Arabidopsis thaliana: one gene and its partner. The protein of the gene in region 2 interacts with the protein of the main gene of each other region in a biochemical or structural test. Each region holds a gene or a part of one and is shown on either strand. Other genes may lie near its edges.

Region 1 (5,219 bases), on a different chromosome or scaffold from region 2:
AGTGGACATCGAGAAGGTGCAGCTACTTCTTTCTTTCAAAAGACTCGGCGCACATCTTGTGGAAGGCTCATTCTCCGATCACCAAAGCCTTGTCTCTGCCGTAAAGCAAGTCGACGTGGTTGTCTCCGCCATGTCCGGTGTCCACTTCCGCACCCACAACATCCCCGTTCAGCTCAAGCTCGTCGCAGCCATCAAAGAGGCCGGTAACGTCAAGGTAAAAGGACTCATACATCACTAAACACTTTTCTTTCTAGTGTAGTTGTTACCTTTTTCATCAGAGTTTAAAGCAATTTAAAATACCGATTATCGTAGCTGGTATTCCAAAAAAGTTGCTTTGGCATATATACAACATAAATTAATAGTATATGTGTTAAAAAAATATGAAGGTACAATGTATCTGTCTGCATCAATGACATATGCATCTTTTGAAAATAGCTGATATATTACGGCTATATTTTGCTAACAATCGCAAATGAATTGAATTTAACTCTATAGACATATACTCATTTTTAAAAATTTAATAATTTTCTTGGAAAAGATAAAGATCCGTTTGTAAGATAATTGTGTAACACAAAAGTCACCTTTTTGGCTTACCAATAACAAAGTTTTAATAAGCTTGCATGCATTATTGTTCAAAGACTATCTAAAGGTTTTTGAAATAATAATAAATCATTTTAGAAAAAAAAACAAAATTATACAACCAATCTTGTCGGATGTTTTTTTAATAATATTGACTGTCTTAGCTTATGTTCGGTGGTGCTTACACTAAAAAATTAAAATATTTCAGTGAAACTACTTACAATAAGTTAAAAAATATTTCAGCGTTTCTTACCATCAGAATTTGGAATGGATCCGTCACGTATGGGACATGCCATGCCACCAGGAAGTGAAACATTTGATCAAAAAATGGAAATACGAAATGCAATTAAGGCCGCCGGGATCTCCCACACATACCTCGTCGGTGCTTGTTTTGCCGCATACTTCGGCGGAAATTTATCTCAAATGGGAACTTTGTTCCCTCCGAAAAACAAAGTTGATATTTATGGGGACGGAAATGTTAAAGGTTAGAAGAACTCTTATGGAACGCTCTCTCTTCATATTTTTCTTTTTTCTATTTGTGTCACTTTTATAATCATGAAAATTCTAAAAAATCTATTTTTGTTCCCATTGGTTTTATTATAGTGGTGTTCGTAGATGAAGATGACATGGCAAAATATACAGCGAAGACGCTTAATGATCCCCGAACGTTGAATAAAACTGTGTATGTTAGACCTACCGACAACATTCTCACACAAATGGAACTAGTTCAGATATGGGAGAAACTAACCGAAAAAGAGTTGGAGAAGACCTATGTTTCAGGAAACGACTTTCTTGCTGACATTGAAGGTAAATCTAATCATCATCTAGTAACCAAATTAAACAAACCTAGCTTTTGGATTATAGATTTCTATCACATCTCTTAAATAAAGCATTGGATTAATGTAAGGTTGGTTTAGTATTAAAACCGAAATGTAAAAGTTGGTCATGCCAAGTATTTATTTTCTATATATCACATCTCATAAATTAAAGTAGACGTTTTTGTCTTTTAGATTCTAGTAAATTATGAGAAAGAGTTGAATTTAGACCAAGTATTTATTTTCTATTAAATGTGAAAATGTTTATTATATACATGCAGATAAGGAGATATCACACCAAGCGGGACTAGGACACTTTTATCACATATACTACGAAGGTTGTCTCACAGATCATGAAGTTGGAGACGACGAAGAAGCTACTAAACTCTATCCGGATGTGAAGTACAAACGCATGGATGAATATTTGAAAATTTTCGTATAATGTTACATATATGTGAAACACATCGCCATTTCCTTATTTTTATGTTTTACCATGGCCTTTTGTTTTGTTTGCTTGAAGATGTTTTCCGAATTTATTTTAAAATTTAAATGTTTCAGTTATGGATATGTCTGGTTATATATAGATATACATATAATCTCAAGGGTCCGAAAATTTCCAAAAGTAAACTCAAGGGTCTGAAAAGATAATTTGGAAATTTAAGTCCTTTTCCTAGAATACCACCGATAATATAAGGGCTTTATACACAAATACACAAGAGATACTTCGAGAAGAGATTAAAAAATAAATAACATAAAAAAATGGAAATTATCTTCCCGCCATGTGTATGTGGTAACTAACAAAAGCTTCGATTACTTTATCCTCTCACTCTCTAATGGCTTCTTCTTCTCTACCTCTTTCTCTTCCGTTTCCACTCCGATCTCTTACTAGTACCACTCGATCTCTACCATTTCAATGTTCTCCTCTCTTTTTCTCTATTCCTTCTTCAATCGTTTGCTTCTCCACTCAAAATCCCGACCGCGAAGAGGTCCGGTGGCTCCGGGAAGAGCAGAGATGGATTCGCGAGGAGCAACGATGGATTCGTGAAGAACAGAGATGGATACGCGAACGTGAATCGCTTCTACAAGAGATTTCGGATCTACAGCTCAGAATTCAATCCCTAGAGTCACGAAATTCGCAATTGGGGAATTCTATTCCCGATACGATTTCGAATATCGCTGCTTTGCTTCAGGTTTTGAAGGAGAAGAATCGGATTTCTGAGAGTGGATTGAGCGCAACGCCGATGGTATTGGAGAGTACGAGAGAACAAATTGTTGAGGAGGTGGAAGAAGAAGAGAAGCGAGTGATTATTGCTGAAGAGAAAGTTAGGGTTTCGGAGCCGGTGAAGAAGATCAAGAGGAGGATATTGAAAGTTGGAAGCGAAGGCGACGATGTTCAAGCTTTGCAGGTCTGCTCTCAGTTTTAAACCAAAGGCGAGTAATTTGTCAATTTAGTTCTATCATCACTGAGAATTAGCTTAAAATTGAGAGATTAGGATGATGATTTGAAGTAGTTTAGCCAATATGCATAAGTTTGAGGTTGATTTTAGTTGAAAGTGTTGGGAGAATGTTTATTTTTTTGATGGTTTCTGTTGTGGATTTGGTTTCCTCTATGTGATAGGAAGCTCTGTTGAAATTAGGATTCTATTCGGGCGAAGAGGATATGGAGTTCTCGAGCTTTTCAAGTGGGACTGCAAGTGCTGTTAAGACTTGGCAAGTATGTTTTTATGCATTTAGCTCGCAGTGATTTTCTCATGTGCTCATGTAGTTTTGATTTTGACACGGTTCATGTTTATGGTTTAAAAGGCATCGCTTGGGGTCCGTGAGGATGGGGTAATGACAGCAGAGCTTCTTCAGAGGTTGTTCATGGATGAAGACGTAGAGACAGATAAGGATGAAGCAAGTACAATGAAGAAAGAGGTAAAAACTGAAACCACTAACTACAGCTCAGAGAACTTGTTCTATAGCATGGCTCGTTTCTAACCGACTTATATAATATGATAGATTTTAGCTGTGTAGTAAGCCTTTGGAGTAGTTATGAAGTCTCTCTTTACTTTGGTATGCAGTCTTCTTACGACAGAATATGGACTCCCATTGTATGCTTTTGGCAAGCTTGTTAGCTAAGATGATGTTTCTGTTGCTAGTGAGCTTTGTTCGGAATCTGAAGTGTCTAATATGAGTCTGAAATACAATTGGTAAATGGGATAAATACTACATTGTCTTGTTTGAGGTTTTAGGGAACATGAATATTCTGAAATTTCTCTTAATTTGCTTAATACACCTGTTAAGACTGGTTCTTTATACTGGATCTTTCTTTTAATTCCATTGATTAAGGAAGCTGGTAATGGGGCGGTATTTACTTCAGTGACACAAGTCCCTGAGAAGAAGCAATCAATCGTGAAAGATCAAAGTGACAGAGAAGTTGACGTTACTCAAAATCGGGTTTTTCTTCTTGGAGAAAACAGATGGGAAGATCCCTCCAGGCTCATTGGCAGGAACAAACCGGTAGACAGAAGTGAATCAACAAACACCAAAACGAGGTGCATCACTTGTCGAGGGGAGGGTCGATTGATGTGCCTAGGTAAATCCCTTCTCCCTGGTTAAGTGAAAATCATCCGTTCTTTGAAAGTTAAGAATGATTTTTCTTAGCAAATTGAGACTGCTAATAGACACCAACCTTAGTAACACTTCAAGCACTGAGTTGTAGCACATTATTTGATGATTATAAAATGAAAACTTGATGTAGAGTGCGATGGAACCGGTGAGCCAAACATTGAGCCGCAGGTGAGTAAAATCAAAATAACCCCGCTCCGATTATGTGTATGTATGTATTATCAAGTAGCCTAAAGCAGAGAAGCTCTTGTCCAATGTTGTAGTTCATGGAGTGGGTTGGTGAAGATACGAAGTGTCCGTACTGTGAAGGTCTTGGCTATACAGTTTGCGATGTCTGCGACGGCAAAAAAAACTTATAATAATGATTCATATTTAATTTAATGAAAAAACAAATTAGTTTGTTTTCCAAATCGCATAATATGGTTGTTTAAGAGAGATATATATATAAATTTAGTGAACAAGTACGTAGTTAGTTTGTTTTTCAAATCACACGAATGGAAATCGTCTTTTTAGGATAATTTCGCATAGGTGCTATCAAATTTTAAATTCAATTAATTTAAATTAATGTCAAACCGGAAATAACATTTTATTTTATATTTTCATTTCATTTAAATGTTTTTTATATATATTTAAACATGAAGTCCAATATCTTATATTTTAATTATCAAATAATATTCACTTTGTAAAATTAACAATAATAACTATTAATTTTAGGCATATTATTTTCGTAAGAAGAAAAATATTAATATCAATTTCCTAATAATAATAATATTTAAACACATCATTCAATTTAGAAAAAAAAACAAACAATATTATTCAGTTGAATATTAAACATTTATACAATATATTTTATTTATACGGAAAACTTCTTATAAAGTATTTTATAAAAGATTTGTAGATTGTACGAATATTTTCTACTTTTAAAATTATTATTTAAAATCTTTTAGTTGTGAAATTTTGTATGGATAGTGGAGAATTAATTGTGAGGATTGTTTGGATACTTTGATGGTAGAGATAAAATATATTTTCTTCTTGGAGAAAACAGATGGGAAGATCCCTCCAGGCTCATTGGCAGGTAAAATCATTGGTTATTTGAAAGTTAAGAAGAAAAGCTAGTATTCGTTCTTAGCAAACTGAGACTGCTAATAGAAACCAACCTTATAGCAAAAGGTTGGATCTTTTAATCCAACATGTTCATCGTCCCAACATAATCGA
Region 2 (4,667 bases):
TTAACGAAAGCTTCTTCTTTTTTATTGTACAAAAAAGATATGGATGTCCTACCATGGATGAGCTTGAGGAATTTAGTCGAGAATTTAAGAAAAGACTAGATGATGCTGGGGCTGAAAAAGTAATCCCAGAGGATCTAGCCCTTGAGGTCAAAAAGAGTCTTTCCCCAGTGAATCAACTCTCACTTGGTTCAGTTTTGTTACAAAATTTTGTTTCCGTTTTTTTTTTTTCTGTGTAGGTGTCATCTCCAGGAGCGGAGAGGCTACTGAGAGTCCCAGAGGACTTGCCCCGATTCAAGGATATGCCAATGACAGTAAGCTATGTAGAAGAAACAAACTCGAGGAAAGCAGTAAAGAGTGGAGTGTTCCTCTTGGAGTCTATAGATGCAGAATCAGATAACTGTGTCTGGAAATTAGCAGATGTAAGGGAGAACAGAGATCCCGAAAGCAAAGGCAGACCGTTAAGCCGGAAACAAAAGGACTTGAGAATCACACTGCCTTTCGCAGATCACAAGAAGATAAATCTCTACTTGGATTAGTTAAGTAGACGTAGAAGTAGAGTTGCTATTAAAGTAAGTTCATCGTCACTGCAGTTTCACATTGCTGTTTCCGGATAATTTCAAGTGATTTTGTATTAGTTGAGATGGTGAGTGAGATATCAAAACATATGACAAAAATTCACACTACTAAGATGTTGTAAGATGTGAACAGGAAAAAAAAGCTGACTAACAGAAACATTATCAAATCTTATGAAAATCATAAACTACCATCTTCAAACATTGAGCCAACAAGCTCTAACTTCTTGTACTCCCTTTCCTCTACTGGTTTCATAACGTATGGACCATCTGGTTCATCATAAGGCTTTGAGGTTCTGTATTCCTTCTCTGTTATCGATCTTATACCGTTTGGATCTGATTCCACTTCATCTTCTTCTTCATCATCTTCTTCTTCTTCCATGTCATCCTTTGGAGGATATCCTCGGGTTTGTGCCAGCAACCATTGATCAATAATACCACACTCAATTGCATATCTCGCTGTGCGTTCCAGGTACCCTTTATTGTTCATAAGATCTGGCTGAACCGTAAGCATTCTTATTAGACCTGAAATAGAGAGTAGTGTGGTTCAGTTAATCGCAAGCATAACTTCCAAATTGCTATGAAAAACAAATGACACAAGTGAAAATGTACCTGCAACGATGCCATCTCCAGATGCTGACATATCCCTTGTAAAAGGAGTAATGGGAACATCCTCCATTCCGGAAACAGCACCATTGTGCTCTTTGGTATAGTAATGGATCTTAGAAGTGCCATTGGTCACAAACAAGACCTTGAGATTTTCATGCCAAAGCTGTTCCACAGTTTCTGGCGGGTAATGGACAAACTTACTGATGTCATTGTTTTCTGTATCGAACTCTTCAGTAGGCTCGATTCCGCATAAGAATTCAAGTTCCTGTTTTGTGATTTCAATGACGTCTGCAAGATTCCACACTTCCTGTATGAAAGACTTGGTTTCTTCGCTGGAGTGCCATAGTGGTAAAGGGAGATTCAAGTCATAAAAAATGACATTGCCTAGTTGCTTTGATATCTTGATGGCTTGTATCGTAGTTGACATCATCTTCTTATCGAGTAGAGAATGCGTGCTGAAGTAGAACATTTTCGCCTGCACCAAAGTTAAGAGATTGGTGAACAAGAAAAAGAGCCAAAAACTCAATGTTCCAAATCTCCAGGACAATATATTACCTCTTTGAGCACATCAACGTTGATTTCAGATTTTGAAAGTGAATCCTCTGCACATGGCTTAATACAAGTCGATTTCAAGCGACCTCTCTTGCTGATCTTCATAGTAGAACACGCCGTAACCCTTTTACCATCAATCTTAACTGATCTAGTTTGGACTTTGCACACATTCAGATAATACAACATGGCTTGACCATAGTCATCAGCCCCAAGTTTGCCCATAAAAGCAACCTTACCACCCAAGCTTGCAAGAGCAATAGCAACACCTCCTGCACATCCTCCAGGAGCCCGGATATACTTCTCTGGAGCCCACTTTGCATCTCTCATCCGTTCGTGTAGTTCATAATCTAATAGCCTGTTTGCTGGCCTTCCCGAAGGCACAAAAGCATGTTGTGCAGATCCAAAGCAACACACGAGAGGAGGCCATCCATAAGTGTGACTAATATCTTCACCTTCATGTTTACTCAGATCAATCTCTTCTTCTTCACTCTCTGTATCAGTGCTTTCAACAGCCAATGCTTCCTCGACATCACTAACCTCAGCATCCATAATAGTAGCTAAATCATCCTCCACATCTTTATCTTTCTTAACAGTCCTCTTTCGTCTCACTTTCTTCTCGGTTTTTACTTCCTCCACATCAGAAGAAGCTGCTGCAGCTGTATATATGTCGAATTCAAATTAAGTACTCGTGAATCATCAAGTGAGAACCATCAGCTCAGAAATGGTAAAAGTCATTACCTTTCTTTCTAGTTCTTGTCTTTTTTGGTTTCAAAGCTGAGACAATGCTTTCCTTGTCTAAAACATCATCATTATCAACCAAAAATTCAGAAATTTCTTCTAATGGTTCATCCTTAACCACAACCTTCTTCTTCGTTGTTCTCTTAACACTTTTAGATGGTTTCTTTCCCACAACCGCACCGTTTCCATCATTACCTTCTTCTTCAAGAGGTGCTGACTCTGATAACTTTCTCCTACCAGCAGCCATAGAAAAGCTTTGTTTCCCATTCCATCTTTCACCTCTAAACTTCACAAAACCATGCGACTGGAGCAGACAAGGAACATCTGCATTGCATCTGCCAAAATCAAAGCACAGCTATGAGAAAACCATTACATCAAAATGTGAAATTTTCAAACAGAAAGACAAATATAGCCCTCAATTCAAATCATTGTTACTCCATTCTTCTGTAGAAAGATAAGATGAGCTAAACTTAAAGTTCGCACATTTTTGGGCAGTAAACTGGTTCTACGCCAAATCCATAGAAACCCATATACTAAAATTTCCTAAGGTTAGAAAACAAGAGAGAGAGAGAAGCAAAGGGACCTGGGGAATGATAAGAATTGGGTGAAGGAGAGAGACGCCATGAACATCAAATAAGAGCTCTTTTCCAAACGAAATTGTAGTAAAACTAAGCTCCGAAACCCATAAAGTCGAAAGAAGCGTAAACCCAGAAATGAACAAAGGAGAGCAATATGTTTATGAGTTTTGAGGGAGATTGGGGTTTAAGCTCTGAAACCGCAAGAGGAGCTAGCTGGGAGAGGATGAGGAGGAGGTTTAGCGCTTTAACGAAACGGCAAGCATTCTATGATCAAAATACTAAAACGTCAAGATGTCCCTATTCTGTCTACTATAATTTATTTACGGCTCATTTTTCTTCTTTAAAGCTAGTGAATTTAGTATTGTCTATATGACATTCTTTTAATGTAGGTAGAAATATTTGTTATGTAAAGTTTTTCGTGAAATCGTTTGCTATTAAAAAACTACTTCAAGGAAAATATTTTGTTGTGAAGTTAATTGGCTCATCATCACAAAGCTACAAAAAACTTACGATTAACTGAAATCATAATTACTATGATGATTTACGAGTAAATGATTTGATTGGCATAGAAATAATGCCTAAAGATGGTGTGATGAAAAACTTAATACAATTCTAACACGAGGATATATATATATATATATACTGTATATTTATTTATTTTTCGTCAAAAAATATAGACTGTATATATGTTATGGTAAAACGGCTATTTTTTGCTATATAGTGAAAATAATATCGTCTGGAGTTATAATAATTAGAATTTTGTATGGTTAATTAATTTCTATTGGTAATGTAACCATGAGTGCCTTGAGTGGAATGAAAGAAAATTGATGTAGTCAGAACAAATCTATGAAAATTTTGATATTTTTTAAAAATGGAATGAAATAGCTGGAGACTAACACACAATTTTCCATCATCTATCCAAATATATGTTTAAATGGTAAAAGATAGAATAGATAATGAAAAGAATTATGAGAGATTCACTACCAATTTCAAAATTATGAGAGATTCATTACCAATTTCAAAATCTCTCTAAAAACAAAGTTTTCTTCTCTTTTTTCTTTTCTTTTCTAGATCTTCATATCTAATTCAAAAGAGAAGCTGACTTTTGACGAGCGTGAAAGACAGAAGGTACTTGGATAACACAACAAGTTCAGAAAAAAAGTAGGTGAAAATTGGCTACCACCTTGCCTCTCTCATACATAAGTATTGTTTACTTCCTTGGTTCTTAAAATATTAGAACCCATTTTTTGTGTTTCTAATAATTGTTTCGTTGTTATCTAAGACTAAACTCATAGTTTTGTATACTTTAAGGTCAGATCGAAGCAGACAATACTGATATTTTGGAGGAACCTATTCTAAAATGGGTTCGTATCTTTTTCATCCGTTTCATTTTCGTTGAAAAAAACAGCGTTTACGTTTTGATACACTAATTTCTGTTAAGTATTGAATCATATTTCACCTTCGAAACATGTTTTGTATATGACTCAGATTTCACATCTTTGGAAACAACAACTTTCGAAGAAGTCGTGATAGCTTTGGGAAGCAATGTTGGAAACAGAATGAATAATTTCAAAGAAGCTTTACGATTGATGAAAGACTATGGGATCAGTGTAACCAG

What was found.
Region 1: the proteins of FLN2 (region 2) and PTAC5 form a complex in vitro, tested with the Arabidopsis thaliana proteins (one study listed by BioGRID).

Annotation. Positions count from the first base shown.
Region 1 is NC_003075.7:7,946,417-7,951,635, forward strand, and holds PTAC5 (plastid transcriptionally active 5), read left to right. Parts: upstream 1-2,162; 5' UTR 2,163-2,227; coding exon 2,228-2,800; intron 2,801-3,012; coding exon 3,013-3,108; intron 3,109-3,197; coding exon 3,198-3,311; intron 3,312-3,457; coding exon of another isoform or gene 3,458-3,511; exon of another isoform or gene 3,512-3,725; coding exon 3,726-3,972; coding exon of another isoform or gene 3,973-3,995; exon of another isoform or gene 3,996-4,134; intron 4,135-4,137; coding exon 4,138-4,175; intron 4,176-4,267; coding exon 4,268-4,363; 3' UTR 4,364-4,606; downstream 4,607-5,219. Other genes in the region: PRR2 (pinoresinol reductase 2), read left to right, coding at 1-214, 823-1,063, 1,183-1,386, 1,676-1,836. UniProt on the Arabidopsis thaliana protein: Exhibits zinc-dependent disulfide isomerase activity. Required for seedling and chloroplast development under heat stress, probably by maintaining plastid-encoded RNA polymerase (PEP)-dependent transcription.
Region 2 is NC_003070.9:26,014,452-26,019,118, reverse strand, and holds FLN2 (fructokinase-like protein), read right to left. Parts: upstream 3,096-4,667; coding exon 3,055-3,095; intron 2,807-3,054; coding exon 2,472-2,806; intron 2,390-2,471; coding exon 1,737-2,389; intron 1,657-1,736; coding exon 1,185-1,656; intron 1,098-1,184; coding exon 754-1,097; downstream 1-753. Other genes in the region: AT1G69210 (Uncharacterized protein family UPF0090), read left to right, coding at 38-146, 237-536; AT1G69190 (Dihydropterin pyrophosphokinase / Dihydropteroate synthase), read left to right, coding at 4,410-4,413, 4,538-4,667. UniProt on the Arabidopsis thaliana protein: Required for proper chloroplast development, most likely through regulating plastid-encoded polymerase (PEP) dependent chloroplast transcription.